Drosophila melanogaster: one gene and its partners. The gene in region 2 interacts genetically with the main gene of each other region. Each region holds a gene or a part of one and is shown on either strand. Other genes may lie near its edges.

What was found.
Region 1: of eff (region 2) and faf, changing one suppresses a phenotype caused by changing the other (phenotypic suppression), as found in Drosophila melanogaster (2 studies listed by BioGRID).
Region 3: of eff (region 2) and enc, changing one enhances a phenotype caused by changing the other (phenotypic enhancement), as found in Drosophila melanogaster (one study listed by BioGRID).
Region 4: of eff (region 2) and E2f1, changing one suppresses a phenotype caused by changing the other (phenotypic suppression), as found in Drosophila melanogaster (one study listed by BioGRID).

The regions. Positions count from the first base shown.
Region 1 is NT_033777.3:31,775,097-31,780,064, reverse strand, and holds the start of faf (fat facets), read right to left. Parts: upstream 3,046-4,968; 5' UTR 2,883-3,045; intron 2,823-2,882; exon of another isoform or gene 2,501-2,822; intron 2,428-2,500; exon of another isoform or gene 2,314-2,427; intron 1,894-2,313; 5' UTR 1,600-1,893; coding exon 1,307-1,599; intron 706-1,306; coding exon 557-705; intron 503-556; coding exon 1-502. Other genes in the region: CG2126 (uncharacterized protein), read left to right, coding at 3,513-3,620, 3,683-3,816, 3,869-4,081, 4,145-4,317, 4,372-4,506, 4,563-4,714. UniProt on the Drosophila melanogaster protein: Ubiquitin C-terminal hydrolase involved in development and the imd/NF-kappa-B (IMD) signaling cascade. Required for eye and embryo development, and plays a role in compound eye assembly and oogenesis respectively.
Region 2 is NT_033777.3:14,738,313-14,742,915, forward strand, and holds the start of eff (effete), read right to left. Parts: upstream 3,008-4,603; 5' UTR 2,695-3,007; intron 2,629-2,694; 5' UTR 2,092-2,628; coding exon 2,068-2,091; intron 1-2,067. Other genes in the region: jvl (javelin-like), read left to right, coding at 3,866-4,279. UniProt on the Drosophila melanogaster protein: Catalyzes the covalent attachment of ubiquitin to other proteins. Mediates the selective degradation of short-lived and abnormal proteins.
Region 3 is NT_037436.4:3,816,858-3,821,720, reverse strand, and holds the start of enc (encore), read right to left. Parts: upstream 3,043-4,863; 5' UTR 2,804-3,042; coding exon of another isoform or gene 2,801-2,803; intron 1-2,800. Other genes in the region: Scsalpha1 (Succinyl-coenzyme A synthetase alpha subunit 1), read right to left, coding at 3,722-3,937, 4,000-4,284, 4,641-4,863. UniProt on the Drosophila melanogaster protein: Required for the regulation of germline mitosis, karyosome formation, and establishment of dorsoventral (DS) polarity of the egg and embryo. Involved in proper grk mRNA localization and translation in the oocyte.
Region 4 is NT_033777.3:21,630,056-21,634,992, forward strand, and holds the start of E2f1 (E2F transcription factor 1), read right to left. Parts: upstream 3,019-4,937; 5' UTR 2,869-3,018; exon of another isoform or gene 2,078-2,868; intron 1-2,077. UniProt on the Drosophila melanogaster protein: Transcriptional activator that binds to E2f sites. Required for wild-type growth in mitotic and polytene tissues, Contributes to the expression of replication genes at the G1-S transition and Cyclin E.

The DNA of each region.
Region 1 (4,968 bases), about 17 Mb from region 2:
GCCCCATTTTCAACCCTACCCTCGACACTAATATTCTTGCCAGTGCACTTGTTTTGGTTGCGCTTCAGCAGTTCCAGTCCGATGTTAAACCGTTCCAGTAGATTGTCAAAGCCTCCCAACTGTCCGAAGCGGTTAATAAGATCCACAAGCCAGCCACGCGCATTCTTGGGCTCCGGCGGCGGACGGGCGTACATTTTGTTGCTGTCCAACTGACCCCAGATGTAGTCCGGCGCTGCGAAGCACTCCGGTTGACGGCCTGCGTTAAATGTGTTGAACTTGTTCTCCGGATCAAAAACAATAGCCAGCAAGTCAAGCAGATAGGGATTGTCTCGCTGCATGTGGATGGCGATTAGATGTAGAAGCTTGCCGCAAGACACAAGGATACAGTGGTGGATGTTATTCTTCCACGAATTCACCGCCTCGTCGGTTAGGATCTTGGCAAAGGAAGTGCTCAGTCCATTGCGATAAAACTCCACACATGGCTCGCAGTCGTGATCCACACCTGCAAATAAATTGACTTTAGAGGGTATCAAATAAATCGTTTGGACACACTTACCAGCCTGGGTCAGTTCGATGGCTGCATTTAAGAGAACCTCCAATTCCTGTTCAGGCAGCACCGGCACCACCCAACGCGGATTGGATATCTTTTGCGTTAGTGATCTCAGTTTCGTCGTGGGAAACGAGGATATAAGCTTCTCTGGAGGCCTATTTAATTAAATGGACAATTATTCAATATTAAAAATAACAAATTAAATAATACACATAAAAAAAAAAGTTCTTAGGGGGTCAATCAAAGCACACCCTTCCATAAACATTTCTGTTTATTAAATGGTTATTTCTATTAAAATAAATGCCAAAACGCATACATTTTTTTTTTTTTTTTTTTTGTAATTTTCAGTGTTAGCTTATTTTGATGGACAAGCGATAAGATAGGCCGTGGACGGGCATTCAAAATGAGATAGTAATAGCCGGGTAAGGTAATATTAGTAAAGCTTGGTAAGTTCATTGCTAAAACTGGACAGCAGCCAAGTGCACCTATCGAAGAAAAAGAAAGATAACATTTATTGCCACATTTATGGTCACTAACCAGTGGCCTGGCCAAAATCATCTGAAACATAGTTAAATGAATTACGAACATTGTGCTGGCCCAACCATAGACAAACAAAGAATGCATGTGGAAGAATTACTACGCAAAAGTAAACACACGAATGTTGGGGATCTTTAGGGGTGGCGGTCATACTGGTGCTACGCACAAAACCCGACTAATTGGGCGGAGTCATGCAAATACGGCAGCACGACCACTTACACTATTGTGATGGTGCTGTCCACGCTGTTCGCTGACAAGGAAGCGGCCACGTCATCAGAGCTCTGACTGTCTGTGGCCGGCTGTTGATCCTGGTTGCCGTCCAAGCTACCTGATCCTCCTCCTGGCAGACTCGAGTTGGCGACTGTTCCTGTGCCTGTTCCTATGCCCGATCCTGATCCGGCACTCTGCGCCGGACTCGTTGTGGTGGTTGTTGTGCTGGTGGTGCTGCTGCTTGAGCTGGGCGCTGTGCTTCCCGGCTGTCCGGTGGTGTGCCTACGAGTGTCGAACGTCATGGTGGCGGGGTATCCTCTCCAGCCAACTCGTTCTGCGGAGCACCGGAAGCGGATGTTAATGCACGAGCTCTAGTGCCGGGCTAATCCTAATGCGTTCTGCAGTGCGCGTCGTTTTTTGACTGGTGTCTTATGGCAAATGTGAGGTATCCGGGCTTCTGCTTGTCCAGTTTGGGAGTTCCCCGCTGATTTGCTGTTTCTTGAGGCACAGTTGGTCGGTTAGTTGGACTTCTTGCTCTGGGCTCCCTCTTATTGTCCTTTTTCCCAATGCCTGGTCAGCGGCCAGTTTGCAAAAATCTATAAAGTGCAACGAAGCGAAAGAGGCAATAAGAGGCGGATAAATACAGCGCTAAGAGAGAGACCGAAAAGGCCCACATGTGTACGAAGCTCAGTTTTGGGTGTGTGAGTGGTCCTGCGTGTGTGTAAGAGAGCGCTGGGTTGGAATATGAAAAATCAATATTATTTAATAGACGGGGCAGCAAGCGCCAAATAATGCTCCAAAAGCACACAAATTACGCTCTCACCCACTCACACGCACGCACGCTCACCCACAGAACCCTCTCTTTTTGTGTGTGCGTTTGAGTTTAATTTAAAATTGTTTTTGTTTTACGCCTCGCTCTTCATTCTTATTTATTTATTGTTATTTTTTTGGGCAAACAAAGAACATTTTCCTGCCGAAAATTACATCACGTCCAAGTTTACGGATTTTGCACTCACTCTCTATCTCTCTCCGCCCGGCATCATCCTTAAGCGGAATGTCGGTCGGTGGGTGGGAGCCACTGGTGGAAAAAGGGGCGGGGAAAGGGTGTAGGCGAAGGGTGGTGAAAATAACTACGCATAAAGTTATAGAAAGATGCCAAAATTAGCGGTTCATTGGGTGTGTCGAGGGCGGTAAATTGCTCACATTCTTTCTATAGCTTTAAAAGTTGTAAGAGATTAACGGAAGTCACCCAAGGACGGCGGCCAGTGCGGCTTTTTATTATTTTTCACTGTTTTTTCACGCGCACACACACTTCCTCACGCGCACGTACATTTATTTTTCGCAAATGGAATCGAGCGAACTGACGACCGAGTCCCAACTTTTCGCAGGCCTCAAAATGGGCGATTGCTCTTCCTTTCGCCTTTGCTCTGGACAGCGGGGAGCCCTTACTTGGCTGCGCCACTCGAAGCTAGTCGCGGTAACTATTTCGCGAATATTGAGCTTACAAATCAGCCGGCCAATAGACAAAATGGCGTCTGCCGTTGCTGTTGTTCTGCGGTCAACTCCAATTGCCATTGCTTTTTACCTGCCTGCCCGACGGCGAAGAGCTGCGTATCCTGCGAGCGTCGCGGTTGCGGCCACAGGGTTTTTTCTACCCGCTCGTTGTCCAATTCGCGTTAAATAAATTATATTTAAGCTATTTCTTTTGCTAGGGTTGTGCAGTTCGGGCGAACTAGTTATGAATTGAACCGGTTCGCGCGGTGCTTTTTACCAGAGTTATCAGGCCATGCCAAAAGCGCGCCTATCGAACTGGTTTATGTGGTACATATAAGGGACCCTAAATTTAAATTTCTGGCAATTGGGATTTCAAATAAAATCAAATCATTGAAATGCACTGTAAGAATGTACACTCTACTAGTCATGTTTAATTGTAAATAAATATATAAAAACATATAGTATTATTAATTTGATCAAATTAGAAAGCAGTCTTAGGGCCCATTATATAATCTGTAGAAAATAATTTCCTTATTTTTAATACATTTCGCATGTGCTTCTGATGTATTATCATTTTATAAATTAGTATTAATTTAAGTGCACGAACAACCTATTCGTTTATTCAGTGGTCCTACTGATAACGATAAGTCCGATATCGATAGGAGTATTGTTTTTATTTTGTTTAATGTAATATACAATACGAAGTAATTGTTTTGATTTCATGAGAATGTACGACGCGTTGGAACGCTGCCCAGGAGCCTACTGTGGGCGATCACCGCTAGGAAACAACAGCTGGAGCAGCTGCGGGGTCTGTCCCAGAGGATCTCGGGTTAATGTTCTAGCATCCTTCGGAACGGCGCCTGGAAAATAATTTACTTTTATATTGTTCAGGTGAACCAAAGTTACGCATGCTCTCCATGCCGCGACGAGTTAAGCACGTACTCCTGGCTATACCTGGGATTCATGACCATGCTGCCACTTATGATGCACTGCTTTTTCATTGACATGGACGCCAAGGATCGCAAGTGAGTGAACTAATCAAACTGGAAGAAGAACTTACTTAGTGAATTCACATAGGTTTTCGCGGAAGCAGCTGATCTTGACGGCCAGCGCTTTCGTTGAGGTTGCCATATCTGCCATCCTCGCCACCTTGCTAATGGAGCCCATGTGGGAGCTGCGCCTCTACGCCTGTGATGTTCGAAAACTTACTGACTGGTACACATTGTTTTACAACCCCAGCCCCAATTATGAGGCACGAGTCTACTGCACCCAGGAGGCAGTTTACCCATTGTAAGACCCAGCCACCCAAGGCTCCAGGTGTTCACAATAGTCACTTTAATGTTCAATTTCCAGGCAAACCATCGTGCTGGTTTTCTACTTTCTGTGCCTGGTGAACATGTTTCTCATACGCCCGCTAGTCAGCAAAATTATGGATGTGGGGGGCAGAAGCAAGGCGCCGATTTACTCGGCTCTTTACTTCCTGCCCCTGCTCACCTTTATCCATGCGTTAGGATGTGGGTTGATCTGTGAGTACTTAAGTGCTTGCTAATATTTTGGTCTTGAGATCTTTTCTTTTTCAGATTACTCCTTTCCGTACCTTAGCGTGGCCATATCCATGGTAGCCAATGCCATCCACTATTCCCTCAAACTGGATCAAACCCTAAAGGCATTGGTTCACTCGTCGGTGTGGGAGTTAAAAAACGTGGTCATCATAGGTAAGCAAAGTGCGCATTCACCATACATAAAGTATACCAGCAGCTTACTTTCCCAGCTGTGCACTGGATGTTGTTGGCCTACGGCCTCACCTCCCTGAATTACCACTATGCCTTTATGTGCTTGGTGCCCTTCCCCACACTGTTCTATATTTTGACCGTACGTTTCACGGATCCTGCCGAGTTCCGGGAGCTGGAGTCGAGAATTTGATGCGGCGACGTCCAGATGCAAATTTTTCACGCCCGGGGAACTCGTCGATCGACTGTTGTTATCTATGTGTAGTGTACGCGTCAATTAATTTATTTACATTTAGTATGTAGCTCAGACTCAGACCTGTTCCGAGTATAATTGCGGCTCTAAAAGCCGTTGAGAAACAAATTTAGGAGCAGGTCTATTTAGTGTTTTCGTCGCACAAGCTTAATTCATTCTTCGTTCTTTTCGTTTTAATTATATTTCACATTAAT
Region 2 (4,603 bases):
GAAGGAGAGTGAGAAGACTGAGCTTCAGTGTATGCGTGTGTTTGTAACGGCACCACAAAATCAGAGTGGAGCACAACAAAAATAGCCGTCGCGAAAAACACCGTGTTTCTTTGCCCCATCTCACTTACTCATTTTGGGAATTGTACCTGTTGAGCAAAAATAAATTACAAGAAATTGTTACATTTCTTTTTTCGTTGGGAGTCGGAGCGGTTATGACTCATATCAGACGAACAAATGAAGTAAAAACAAACACGCACACTTGTGCACAGCAAGAAAATTCGATAATATTATCAATATTAGACCAGGTGCACTACCAATACAAACTTCTATTTAATTCTTATTCGAATAATTAATATTGTGAACTTTAAGAATTGGTTCAGTAAGACTAAATGCCATATGCATTGGTTCTAAAGCCCATTTCGTTCAGTGTACGGTTCAAGTGAGCTCCGATCGGCGTTTAAGCCGTTCTCTCTCGCTCTTTAACTCTCTTTTTTGGCAAATGAGGCCATCTAGAGAAAAAAGGCTTTTGAAGAATTGACCACAAAAAGGGGGCGTGAGTGATTTTAAGAGTTTACTACAATGTATACTTTTATTTCCGGTTTGCCGCTTGCCATTTCGTTTTCATTTAGGCAGGCATTAAAATGTTATAATGGATAGAAAACTACGAAAAACGAGGAAAACTCAATGGCCATGACGCCGACGCAGGCAGCGCTGCTTTTGTCGAGACAGTCAGCAGACCCCCGCCCCACACATTCAAACACAAATACACACCACGCTCACACATACGCATAGATATGAACAAATTCCGCATTCGCTGCTCATTTTGTATGTAAATTATGCTTAATTATAATTTATAACTAATTATTTGGGGGCCCCCTTTTGGCTGACGGTGTTTTGCAACACTAAGCCCCGCTAGCACTCACACACTTGCGCTCTCTTTGGCTCTGCCCCATTGCGCGAGCGGGACCGAATGAGGCCTCAGCTGTCGCGGGCAAAGGGAATGCGCCAGGGCCAGAGCGAGATGGCATGCAATGGCCATAGCCAAGTGATGGCGAGACTTTGTATTTGCGAGCGTTTTAATGTGTGTGTGTGTGGGGTATGACTATGATAACCGGCTTCAAACGTAAAAAAAGATCCCAATTTGCCAAGTAACATTTCCACAACTTCGAGATATTACTAATGCTTTTGAGGAAGGCTGGGATGACTTTGAAAAAATATCGGGTTGTCAGGGCCTTGAACATTGGGGTGTAAAAAAGCATTTACTGGACAAGGACAAACGACGCGCAGGCACTTTAAAAATAATTATCGAAGCACGCACGCTAGAACCACTCTACCTAAATACATATATAAATATATATGCTTGGGGGCAGCACTATTTCTGAATTATCAGCGCAAAAAGTAGGGTTAGGTTAATTTTATACGCTTCTTGCTTTTGCTCTGTTTTATTTTTTGCTGGATCTTTCTGCGGCGCTGGCAGTGTGTGCGTTTATGTGTGACTGTTGCGAGGCTGAGAGTGTGTGCGAGTGCCGTGTACAGCGTGTATTGGGTAACAGCGCCCGTAGAGCTGCGAAAACTCCGCCGTATAGTTGCATTAATGTAAATGCATCCAGGTGCCCGGCACACACGCACACAAACAATGCACATTTGCATTGCACTTTCACGCACACGCATCGCACACACACTTATCCCACACTCTCGCAAAAGTAACGGAAGCGATGACTGCACTACACGTTGCCTTGCCCACCACACACACACATCCTTATACCTTTTTCACCACCCTCAAAATTTCTAATCTGCTCCTAATTACTAACTTATTAATTAAATGGTAACTCCACAGCTCATTTTCTCCCTTCCCTCTTGCACGCTTCTTTCCCCCCGCTTCTTCTTTCTTCTCCTCGGTTACTACCTACGTTTCACATTTCTTGCATAAAATTTTTCTCCCGTTGAAAACTGATGTCTGTTCGCTTTTTTTTTAGACTATCATTTTGGTGTATCGCAAAGGGTTCTGTTCTTTCTTTTTTTAGTCCGTTTCGCAAAGTTTTTTGAGATATTCCTTTTTTCACATACCTTATTGATTCTTTTTAACGCCATTTTCTGATTGAAATTTGATTTTCTGGGTTGTGTGTGTGTTTGGTTGGTTGTGTGTGTGTTTGGTTGGTTGTGTGCTGGTGTTGGTGTCTCGCGTATTTCTTTTGTTCTTCGCACAGAATTGGGTTTTATTCAATATATAATCCTCCTGCTTAGAATTGAACGAAAAACGAAACACAAAGCTGCGTTGCGCCTCTAGAACTTTGATGCTTAAATATGGCTCTTTCGGTTGAGTGTCCCTTGTCACGAAATAAAGCAGCACCAGCGCACTGCAAGTAAAAACGGCGACCCGACGAAGACTACGGCGACGATTATTTTTTCACAATCAATGCGGGGCCTTTCGACCGTTTGTGCGATAGAGACGACCGTTAGTGAGCTGAGAACGCAACGAAGCACAATCGTTACACCGAAGTGTAAGCCCGAGCGAGAGGAATGGTGTGTCTGTGTCGTGTGGTAGTGTTGTGAAGCGGAAGTCCAGCAGAGCAGTCCAGCTATATGACCTTTTCGCTAGGGGTGGCCAGATCGATTGGGTGGCAACGCCTTTTAGGTGAGGGATGAATCAGTTAATTACAATTTGATTGCCAATGCAAGACTCTTCATACTCACTTTAGTTCGGGAACAGCCAGAAGAAATAGTTTTACCGGCAGCGAGGAGGTGTTATATTTTATTCGAACTACCTTCTTATCGATGGTGCGTGCGCCCAAAAGCTTGCAACTTGTATGTAAATTTGTTAACACCCAACGTGTTGCAGGCTGCCGGAATGTTTTTACTGAGCAATTTTGAGATGTTGGTAATCCGAGTTCTTGAAAACTTTCCGACTAGCTACTGAGTTCTACAACTGAATTGACAGGGCGTTATTTTAAAATTTAAATTCACTCCAGAGCGCTGGTCTGGCAAGGCCGACGTGCCAATTCAGGATACTTGTCGATATTTTCCGTTGTGCTATCGATAGTTTTTGGGAATAACAGGCGTTAGTAGATTTTTAGTATTTAGATTTTATTATCATAAGGATGAAAATATTTTTAACAAAATAAACTGGTTCATTTAATTTAACTTTTTATTTTCTCACTACTCCAAATGGCGCTTCCGCTGTCTGAAACTGCCGTTATAATAGTATGAACAGTTAAAACAATCGACGGTAGCTGAATTTAATCAATGCAGCCCTCTTACCCTATACATCGATAGTATCGCATAAACATCGATTTTGGTTCCAGCTCTAACTTTAACTGTCTGCAAAATATTTCAAACAAAAGTGTTTGTTAATTAAGTAATATACTTAATATTAGTGGCTGTTTTGCTTCGACATTGATCGAATTGCGGTTGTGCAAGTGTTTTGTTTGATTTGTTGGCGTGTTTTTCCTAGTTTGGCGGCCCTTTGAACTCGTTCGTGTATCGCCATCTCTCTCCCACCCCCGCAATCGGCTTCGTGCGTATTTTTTTGTGAATTTTTACACAGAACTCACACTTTTGTATGGCCCAAGAATTTGTACAATATTTTTGCACTTGAAAAACAAGAAATAATGAAGAAAGCCAAGATAAACGCGACGATGTGCAAGTGCTAATCATTCAGTTTTGGCAAGCGCTGAACTTCGCTGACTTCTTGAACAGCAAAAAAGATGGAGGAGGATAATGCCAAGGTCCTAAGTAATAACAACAAGAACAACAGAAACAACAATAAGGGACGCCAGCAGCTGCAGGGACACGCCCACAGCTCCGCCACCGCCCACGCCTCCGTCGATATATTTATATTCGATTTATAGTAGCTGTAGTTGTAGTCATGCCAACAACAAAAACGCAAACACAGACAACAACAACTTGCAGCGAAGAGGAAGAAGCGGCGATAATACGAGAAAATTGCGATACGCCAATGGCGACCCCAGCAAATGCAACAACAGCAAACACAACAACTGCAGCACCCATAACAACAACAACAACAACAGTAAATACGCGCAGACAAGAAGAAGCAGCAGCAGTAGCTTCCACACCTAGTGTTACGAAAACGGCAACAACAACAAACATACTAGCCGCTGCAGCGGGATGCCACAAGCCGTTATTCTTCAGCCGCCGCTTTCAGGACAAACGGAACTTTAGCTCGCTACCGCTCTTCGTCTACGCGACCTCGCCATCAACGCACGCCCACTCAGCGGACGGAGTAGGCGTGGCCAAGGAGGCAGCCGCGTTTTGCCACAAGGTGAGTTTGTTGCACAAAGAACCAGATAAACTTGTAATATTAGGAGAACAAGGAACTTCTATAATTGCCAATCAAATATAATATATCCCCTTTAAGTTATGTATTATAAAATGTAGTATTTTATTTAAACTTTGATAATGCCATTTGTATGTATTTAGATTTAACCCCAAAACAGGAAAAGAAAACCAAAAATAAAGAATTCTGGTTGGAACAGAGAGTTTCCAGTTCGAGGGATTCGTTTGGCATGTCACAGAATTGTAATTGTAATAAAACCCCCATGGGTTTTAATACTCATTTTCTACCTTCCACTCTGCCATCTCTTTT
Region 3 (4,863 bases), on a different chromosome or scaffold from region 2:
TGGTAACGTAAACAATTTTACACATCTAAATGTCTACTATCAAGCAGCTAAATATCTTAAAATCTTTAAACTTTTGTCAGCTATCGTTTCTGCTTTGGTTTTTTCGTGACAGACGGCCAAAACTTTTAAGGCCACGTTAAGCAGCCATTGAGTTCTGCGGCAGAGCGCAGAAAAAGCCGAGCTAAGCACAGCTGGCGAACAGAGAATCCTGACTAGCAGATGTCCTGTAAACGGCTAAATGGTGCTCATAGCTTAAGGGAAAATATTAATAGGAGTAGGAGAAGAGAGCTAGACTTTCAGTCTCCTCAATCATTCATTCATTTGGCATATGAGACATGCCCGTTGCATACGAAAAGGGGCACCTGGGAGCCGACATTTGGGGCCATTTGATTGTTGTCTTCGGCTTTCCCCGCGCTCAGGCCATCTGCGGGAATTATGAAATATGCAAAAAGCATCTGCACGGACCTAAAGCCACCACCCAGTCACCTCCTTCGCTTCTACGGGAATAGAATTTGCTTGGCATCGCAACTTTGTCTGCGGAATCTACAGAGGACAGCGGTGGGGCAGGTGTGTGGAACTGATGGGGCTCTTTGAGCCAAATCAAAATCAAAAACAAAACTGGCGTAACCGATGTGATGTGTCTGCTCTTATCACAGGCGATTATTCATAAGCAGCAGACTAAATAAAGTACAGCGCATCTTCGTTGACAAGTAATCAGCCAAATATTAATTATTCCCAGTGTATATATATAAAAAAAATAATTTTTTTAATTTTACCTTCAAAACATAAAACGCTTGTGGGCACGAGTATATTTATTTTTCCTGATTTATTCAAGGCATCAGATGAGCTCTTTGGAAAGGTAGAAAACAACCAATGTTTTTCAATATTCAATTATGTGGACTATAAAAATTTTGCTTTAAATTACAAGTTACATTTTTTTTAACTCAATAAAAATTCTACTAACAGGAGTTTGCCTGCTGAAATATCGAAATGCGAAATCAAAAGATGTACGCCTGCCAGAATGTGTTTCAAAAAATGCAAATAAAATGCCATCCGATATAGAAAGTGGCATGAGCGAAGGCAATAAATTAATTTACACAAATTCTCGACATTCTCGCATGAAAAATGCTTCGGTTTCGCGAGTTTTTGCAGTAAGACTTGTGTTCAATCTTTTTTTGTTTGTGTAATGAGTGCGAAACGGAAGGCCGAAGCGAATCCGAGCGCATCACAATCGACTAACTAAGTAGCAGCAGCCACTAAGGAAACAACTACAACATTGTGTGACAACGACGACATTTCGTTTAGAGCATCAGCAAAGATACATCATCCTCATCACGGCATCATCGACCGAAAATCGGTCATCATCGGTGGAATCATTAGATGCGAGTATCCAAATAAAACAATAAACAGACGAAAACAAAACAGCGACGTTTTTAGTATAAATTGTATTATAAAGTACAGTGGACACTTGCATTGAAAGACCAATGAGTCCAGATATTCAAAACCCAAACTTTCCTAAACTCACACTTTTTGATAGAAGCTACAATCACTAATAAGATAAAATCTTCACTTTCACTCAAGAAAATTTGTGTGGATTTAACAAAAATAAGAACTATTTTTTGCGTGTTTCGGTGTTTGGGAGAGCGAATAAACAAAAAACTGACGACATTATTGCGACGCCAGCGATGTAAGAGAATTGGAGACAAATGTGAGAAAGGCCCAGGGAAGTGGAGGGAGGGGGGATATAGCCGGGCTGGTCGGATAATTCGCAAAATAGATTTTCAATAAAACCCACTCGAAAACGCCGACAATGGCGGACGCAGGCCAAAGAGCCATTTCGAATCTATTTTAAACACAAACAAAAGCATTCTCTATAAATCGAGCAAACGCGAAGAGGAAGAAAACTTACAAAAATGTTTGCAAGAATGCGATATGTCACCAGAAGTTGAGGGTTCCTAGCGAACTGGAACGCACATTTTTCGGCGTTTTGTAATCGATCTGCAGCAGCAGCAACAGTTTTCAAAACTATTTATCCTAAAGCTTATACACAAAAATCTACATAATATATAGATAGGACGCATCCTTAAGTGGTTTTTCATATCCGAAGTAATAATGACGTGCTGTTTGTAAAATATATTTTACATTTACATTACTTTTAACTCAACCTGATATTTCGGATCAACATTTTAAAAACTTAAAACTAAAGAATAATAAAGAATAATACTTCTAGCTATATTTCTCGTTTCATAATAATATTTTTTTAAAGTAGGATATTGAATATATATTATATTAAAAGTACGGAAGCATTGGCATAATATTAAATCGAAGAATTATGTGAGCAATTAAGCTACCAATCTGCTACCAACAATCCCATAATTTATTATTTTCAATGCAGCACTATGTATTGCGAGCGTCAAGGCCATGAACTCCTGGTATTAGCCATGCTACAACTTTTTTTCAATAAAGTTCCTCGGCGAACGAAAATTCCAACTAACAACTCCAATTAGACATACCCGGAATCAGATAACGGGGCCTTCCCGGCAGCCCTACTAAAAGGCATGCACTACTCCGTCACATACATACATACATGCGAGGTGATAAATTTGTATGTGCACATGTGTGTGTGTGCGTATGTAGTGCACTTTAAAATGCAACCGCAACCGGCGGCTGCAAAAACCGAAAATGTTGCAATAGTAATAATAAGCGCACTAATATTATTATGTTCACATCATTTCCAACACGCTTTGCGAGAAAAGGGACAGTGCTAACGAAATTTAGGGACATTTTCTTAGAAACTCACCATTTTCAGTTCTGCTGCCCATGGCGAGTCGTTGTTGTTGCTTTTCCTTTGGTTGCTCTCCCTTTTGATTATCTGCGATTTTCACACTTTTCCGGGGTGGCGAACAATATGCGAATCGGCACTATAGCTTCTGACGTTTTTCGCGGTGTTTTCCAAGTTTGTTTAGGCCTTTGTGGCACGCATTTTCAATCGCGGCCCTAAAACATATATATGTTTATTAGAGCTGGCACAAAAAGCGATGGCAGTTCGATATTAATGTTGCCAGATATTTCACGAGTTAATCGAAACTTCCGCTCTATCGATGTGTGCTCTTGATGTTTGCAAGTCGATCCCATTAAATATCGAAAGTAGAAAACTACATTTTTTTAAATTTCCTTAAATCTTTTTTTAATATGGTAAGCATTGCTTTTCATAAATTATTGTTTTGTTAATTCTTCTCCAAAGAATTTTAGTTTAGATTAAATAAATTGACCTGAAAATTCATATTTTCAAAGGATATGGCTTGTATAGCTAAAACCACGAAAATTCACCACATCTATCCTGTTTTTATGCATATTTATTACACATTCAGATACAATTCGCATTGATAATTCGAGCAGGCATTTAAAATTAAGGCAAAAATCTGTTCGCAACACAAACAATGAGCCGAGTGCAATAACAATTAGAAATCTTGGTTTTGGTGCGAGTTATTTTAGTTCAACTTGGTGGTACGGCAGTAGTTAACTTAATTCTTGGAATACATGTCACAATTCAACGCCTCTCGTTTCTCTCTAGTAATTTTTCACAATAATTTATTTGGGTTCGCTCGAATGCAATTTCGATTTTCGACACTTTTAGCTTAACGTTAGGTTCATCATCATGAGTTTGCGTATACGCTTTGATCGGCGTACGGATTCCGGTTTGGTTATGGCCTTTAATTATTTACACTAACTCCAGACGCTTCATCTCCTTGAAGAGCTCGTGGCCCATTTTGGCAGGACTCCTGGTCACAATGACGCCGGCCTTCTCCAGGGCGGCGATCTTGTCGTTGGCACCTCCCTTTCCTCCGGAAATGATGGCTCCAGCGTGACCCATGCGACGGCCGGGTGGCGCCGACACTCCGGCAATGAACGAGACGACAGGCTTGGCCTTGATGCCCTGCAATAGGATACAAAAACATTTAGCAATGAAATACATTGATCCGTGATGGCTTCTCATACCGAATTGTACTCGGTCAGGTAGTCGGCAGCCTTCTCCTCGGCAACGCCTCCGATCTCGCCGATCAGGATGATGCCCTTGGTCTCGGGATCCTTGAGGAAGACCTCCAGGCAGTCGATGAAGTCGGTTCCGTTGAACGGATCGCCTCCAATGCCCACGCACAGGGTCTGGCCCAGACCCACCTCCGTGGTCTGGTGCACGGCCTCGTAGGTCAAGGTTCCCGAGCGCGAGACCACGCCGATCTTGCCGCGCTTGTGAATGTGACCCGGCATGATGCCGATCTTGCACTGCAATCAGAAAAAACATAGTTTAAGATTATACAATTGACTTAACTGAAAGTGGAGTGAAGTGGGTAATCACTAAGTTTTGTGACGCATAGAAAGATAAGCGTTATAAATGGTAATAAAAAACGTATCGTCCGCAAATTCCACCAACTTCAGGTGCAAAGTTCAATGCCCAAATTTAAGGGTGTGTCAATGGAGGCCTGTTTATACATTAACAATAAGCAAATTGAAAACGGAATAGTAAACAGATATATGTAGTTCAAAGCGAGCGTCATACCAAGAGATAAGAAAACCACCAGATGAACGTGGACTTTGCCCTCTGGCCAAGCTTATCTCTCAAGCGCTGGAGATGTACGAACCTGTTCGGGGGCGATGATTCCCGGGCAGTTGGGACCCACCAATCGCGACTTGCTCTGGCTGATGAGGGCGTGCTTCACCTTCACCATGTCGTGCTGCGGCACACCCTCCGTAATGCAAACGATCAGGGGGATCTCCGCTTCCAGAGCCTCGATGATGGCGGCCGCAGCGCCCGGTGGTGGCACATAGATGACGGTGGCATGTGGATCGGTGGCCTTCTTGGCC
Region 4 (4,937 bases), 6.9 Mb from region 2:
TCCCTTCACCTTTTCACTGCCACTACTCTGCTCTCACGTTCTCCGTGTTAATTTCGAATTAGTATAGCAACAATAACCGGCCGCAAGGTGTAGTGAAGATTGTTAAATTAACGGATCTTTACTCTTTATAACTTAAATTTAGTCTGCCCCCGAATAATAAATATGCCCAATTGCAGACATGAAATCTCAATTCACTAATTAATAAAATATTAGCTAAAATCCCAATTCGAATGCAACTAATGGCTGGTATTTAATTTGCAGCCATAACTGTATTCCTCTGGCATGCCAATTTACCGTTATTAATTATGAAGATCATGCATTTACATGGCTATTAATTATATACGTTGTTATGTATGCAGACTCACGCACACACAGGCATAAGCACAAGCACACGAAAACATACATATGTATGTACATGCATGCTCACTAACACCCACACAGATACCAAGAGCTAATAAAAAGTTTCGCTTTCTTTTTGCACATCATTTTGCATGCGCAGTAAAAAGGCAGGGACAAGTGAAATAAATACAAATAAATAATGTGCGAGTGTGCAAGGTGTTAAGCAACAACAATTGCAATAGAGGGAAAAAAGTGAATCAAAAGCCAGAAAAAGAGGAAGAACACGAATTTTGTGTATTAAGCGGCAGTCCAGAGAGAGAAAGAGAGAGTCTCCCACGGTGTGTGTGTGTGTTGGAGGGGGATGCTGCTAGGGAAAAGAGACTGAGAGTAAAAGCCGGCCTGAATCCGAATAACAGCTGTTACTCACAGACACAATCCACATGGAACATCTCTCTTCATCTTTTTGTTGTTGTTGGTCCCATGGATGCTTTTTTCTAGCCGGTTTTATTTTCTCTATCATCTTTATTTCATTTGGTCAATTACACACACTTGGCTTCTTTCTTATGAACCGCAAGGACCGAGACAGAAGGCAGCCACTTAATTGCACACTTACAGAAATGAAATAAGGTAATAGTAATATAAAATAAAACGGCTGTAAGCCTCGCCTTAGCTTTTTTCGTTTGAGAAAGCCAAAAATAATTGCCAACTGGCCAAGTCAAGAAAAAGAGAACGAGTAAAAGAGAAGGCGGCTTTTTGTCCAGGGAGAGGCGCACAAAATGCGTCGCAAAATATTTCGCCCACAGAAAACTGCAAACATAATGAAAGCCCGGGAAAGGAAAAATTATTGCGTGGGTGTGGAATATCAATGCCGGCAAGGAAAGCAGAATGAATTCCAGGGAAGTCCCCTTTGCGTTTCATACACCAAAATTTTGTACATAATGTACAAAACTTCATTTCGCCTGGCCATTTACGCGATGACGCATTTAGAGCCAATCGAATATTGTGTACTCACAAGGCCTGATAACAGGGGCCACACATAATGTACACACTATGTGGTGCAGTCGTCAAGTACATGCACAGATTAAAGCGGAAAACTGTTGATGCAAGTCCAATTAACCCGACGAAACTGGTAGAAGTAACCGGCAAATTCAAGACCACAGAAAATATTAAAGAGACAAATGATCTGAGATTTTAAAACATTTAGATCACTTTAATTTGTAAAACAAACACATTACCTAATTATTACATGTCTATTGAACATTTCAGTTGATATTTATGACTGCAGTGCAGCTTTAATTTTGCATTCCTCAGTATCCACGTCAACACAAAAACGCCAGTTAGTTGGCTAATATTGTGCTGGACGGTTTTACACAATTAATTTTAACTTGAAATGTATTTTTGTCCATATCTTCGAAGAAAAACCACGAGTTCTTCAAACTGTTACCTGCACTGTTGTCTTAACATCTAGTAAAATGTTAATCTGGGGGGCGCCATAAAGAAATCGCCGCCGACTTTGGGCAAATAGAAATAAAAACTGATGGACTCCGAATTTTCGATTCGTTATCTCTGAAAACTGGAGCGTTGGGGGATTGAATGAGTGAGCGAATGACTGCTATTCACCGTATCGGTTTTGGAGGTTATTAGAGGGCTTAGCCCAAAATTGAATGATTAATTGATCATCAAAGGTGAGGTGGAAACTCCCTTTGCTTCTTTTTTTTTGTCTTGTTTGAATACGCACCTAAAAATGGAATTTTTGTTGGTTTTACTTGCTTTCTATATATCACACGCAACCACAACAAATTGCTCTGCTTTTTTTTCCACCGCCGCCTGCTTCTTCTTGCTCTTTTTGAATATCACACACGTTTCATATTTGCAAATTTTTCATTTTTTTGCGGGCGTTTTGCCTTTTCTGTCGGTTACTTTTTGTATTCCACGTATAATGTGCTGCTGCTTCTTACTCGTTTGACTCAGTCTGTGTGTGTGCGAGTGTGAGTACGTCGGTGGTGTGGGAACTTTTAACTTTACTACGCGACGTTTTCGTTTCTCTTCTTTATTCTCTATATATTCTACGATTCTGTGCGTGACGTCAGCAGTTCGAGCATTTGTTGTAGATATCACATAATTGTTACACGCCCGCACTTTTATTTTATTTTATTCTTGATTTTTTAGAGCATTTGCTATTGCTACTCAGCGACTTGAATCTTTTACTTGCAGAGGCAGTCTTTTGCGGCTTTTTGGTTTTTCTCTCAGTTTTCCATTTTCACATTTTTGCGGACTGGCGACGAAAAGCGAACTGAACTTGGGCCACAAAGTGTGTTGTGCCGTGTCTTTTTTGGAGTCGCCGTCGCCGGCAAAACGCAATCCACACGCGGAGAAAGAGAATCGGAGAGACACGAGATAGAGAGAGAGAGCGAGAGAGGGAGTCGTCTTACGTCAGACGGAGAAAACGTAAGCACCACCGTAATGGCACTTTTAATACCGGCCACTTACGCTTAATTAGTGTATTAAACCACATTAACTTATCAATACCTCAGTCTTGTACTCTTTTCAGTTAGCTTTTCTATTTTTTTTCGGATTTTTCCGTCGATTTTCCCCTCGTAACGTGTTTTCTGCTCGCACATGTGTGTGGGGGCGGCAGCGGCAACAGCAGCGTCACGACGCGACAACAACACTGAACGCGGCGAATCGACAGAACAAGCAACGAGCCACAAAACGCACGGCGTCTCTTGTAGCGGCGAATTTGAGGCGTCAGCAGCTGAGCGCTCGCGGCACGAGAGAGTGAGAGCAGAAGAGAGTGGATCGTAAATTGAGTGGAGACAAAACTGATCAAACGATAGCTATTCGATATTACGATAGGTTGTCAATTCAAAAGGGAACGAATATTTTGGGTTATTAATATTTTGCAATGAATAAATACATTTGAGTGTTAAAAGAAAAATATAATTATTTATAAGCGAAGTTAAATACCTATAACAGCGCTGTTAATCACTTCCTGAATTGTTTTTTAAATGCTACATTATTTTACCTAATATCAGCTTTTAATTAAATCTTTGGTCCAAGTTTTATTTGAAGTTTTTAATTTTAAAATTCTGTTGATATAAAAACTAATGCTTGAAGCTAAGAGAACCACGCTAATTGCAGCGAATTAGCGGCAACAGCTGAGCACGAGAGAGAACGAATGTGGAGAAGGGGGCGGAAAGCGAAAGCGCAAGAGGGTGGAATGTGAGTGGCGCCGCTTCCTACTCTTCACATGTGGCATGTGGAAGCCAGACTCGAATGTTCGGTGAGAGCGGCTTTTGCTTTTGGCCCCCAACCCTTTTCGCTCTCTTCGGCTTGCCGGCTACAAATCGGCTAAAAATCGCTCAGACGGAAGTGGCGACGTCGCTGTTACCGCACCCACATCAACAGCGACGCCGGCAGAGAACCTTTCCCCTCCCGCTCAACCAACCGCTTCACCATCTTCTTTATCTTTATCAGTTGTGTGCCAAGTGTTGCATTGCGTTGCAGTGACGACATTGTTGTAGTTGCAGCAGCACAGCAGCGTTGCCGATTTTCAGCGCCCCATCAACAAGGGGTACACTTTTTAAGGCCGGAAATAGGCATTAAATGGGTCTATCGCATAACTCGACACTGTCGCACACAAATCTATTAATTTCTACGTATCATAAAAATTATGCCTGAGATTAAAGCCAAGTATGCTCATCTCACAGCTCACAGCTTAATCATATAATATACCTTAAAGATTTGCAACTTTATAGAGAAAAGTTAGTATTTAATTAAGTAAATACTAACTGAAGTGTAAAAATTCACCTATTTGCTGAGCAACTGACCTGATTAAAGAAACCTGCTCAAACATTTGACTTTCCATTCTTATATTATTTGTTATTCCACTATTAATCTACTTTAGTGCAAAAGCACTTTCTACTAAACAAACAATACTCATACATTCTGGAATAATGCAAAGTTTGTACTCATAAATATCCCAAAATCGCTACCATGTCACTTTTTCTAACAACAATCTGATTAAATATTTACAACTCATGCCCGCTGCCATTTGCATTCCTGGTTTTGTGTGCACAAATGTATCTCGCAAATCAGTACAACTTGCCAGGCGATCTGCGCAGTGTTTCCCATTCCCATAATCCCAAGCCCAGTAACTGAGAAACATCCCCCCCCCCTCCTACCAGAAATGTAATCTCCTTTCCAGTTTTCGATTTCTATTAACTTTTTAGGCAGTTTTTTTTTTTGGATTCGAGGCTGTTATCCTTTGGGTTTCTCTTGGGTGGGTTGCTGAGGCGAGGACACTCACAGATCCGTGAGTGTGATTTTTTTCACATTTCCCATAAGCCAGACCGGCAGACAAGAAGAAGAAGAAGAAGAATGAGAATACGAATATGAAGAAGAGGGGCGAGAATCACCCCTCACGGACGCAGAAAGAGAGGAAGAACTTTGGCCCCTGCGCCTGCCCCTTCCCCCTTCCCATCCCTTGCCCAACACATATGCAATTAGAGTATCTCTATGCTTGATTTTTTTTCAACCATTTTCTGCAAGATGGTTTTTTTTTTTCGCCTACCAGATAGAAGAGCGCAAGCGGGAAC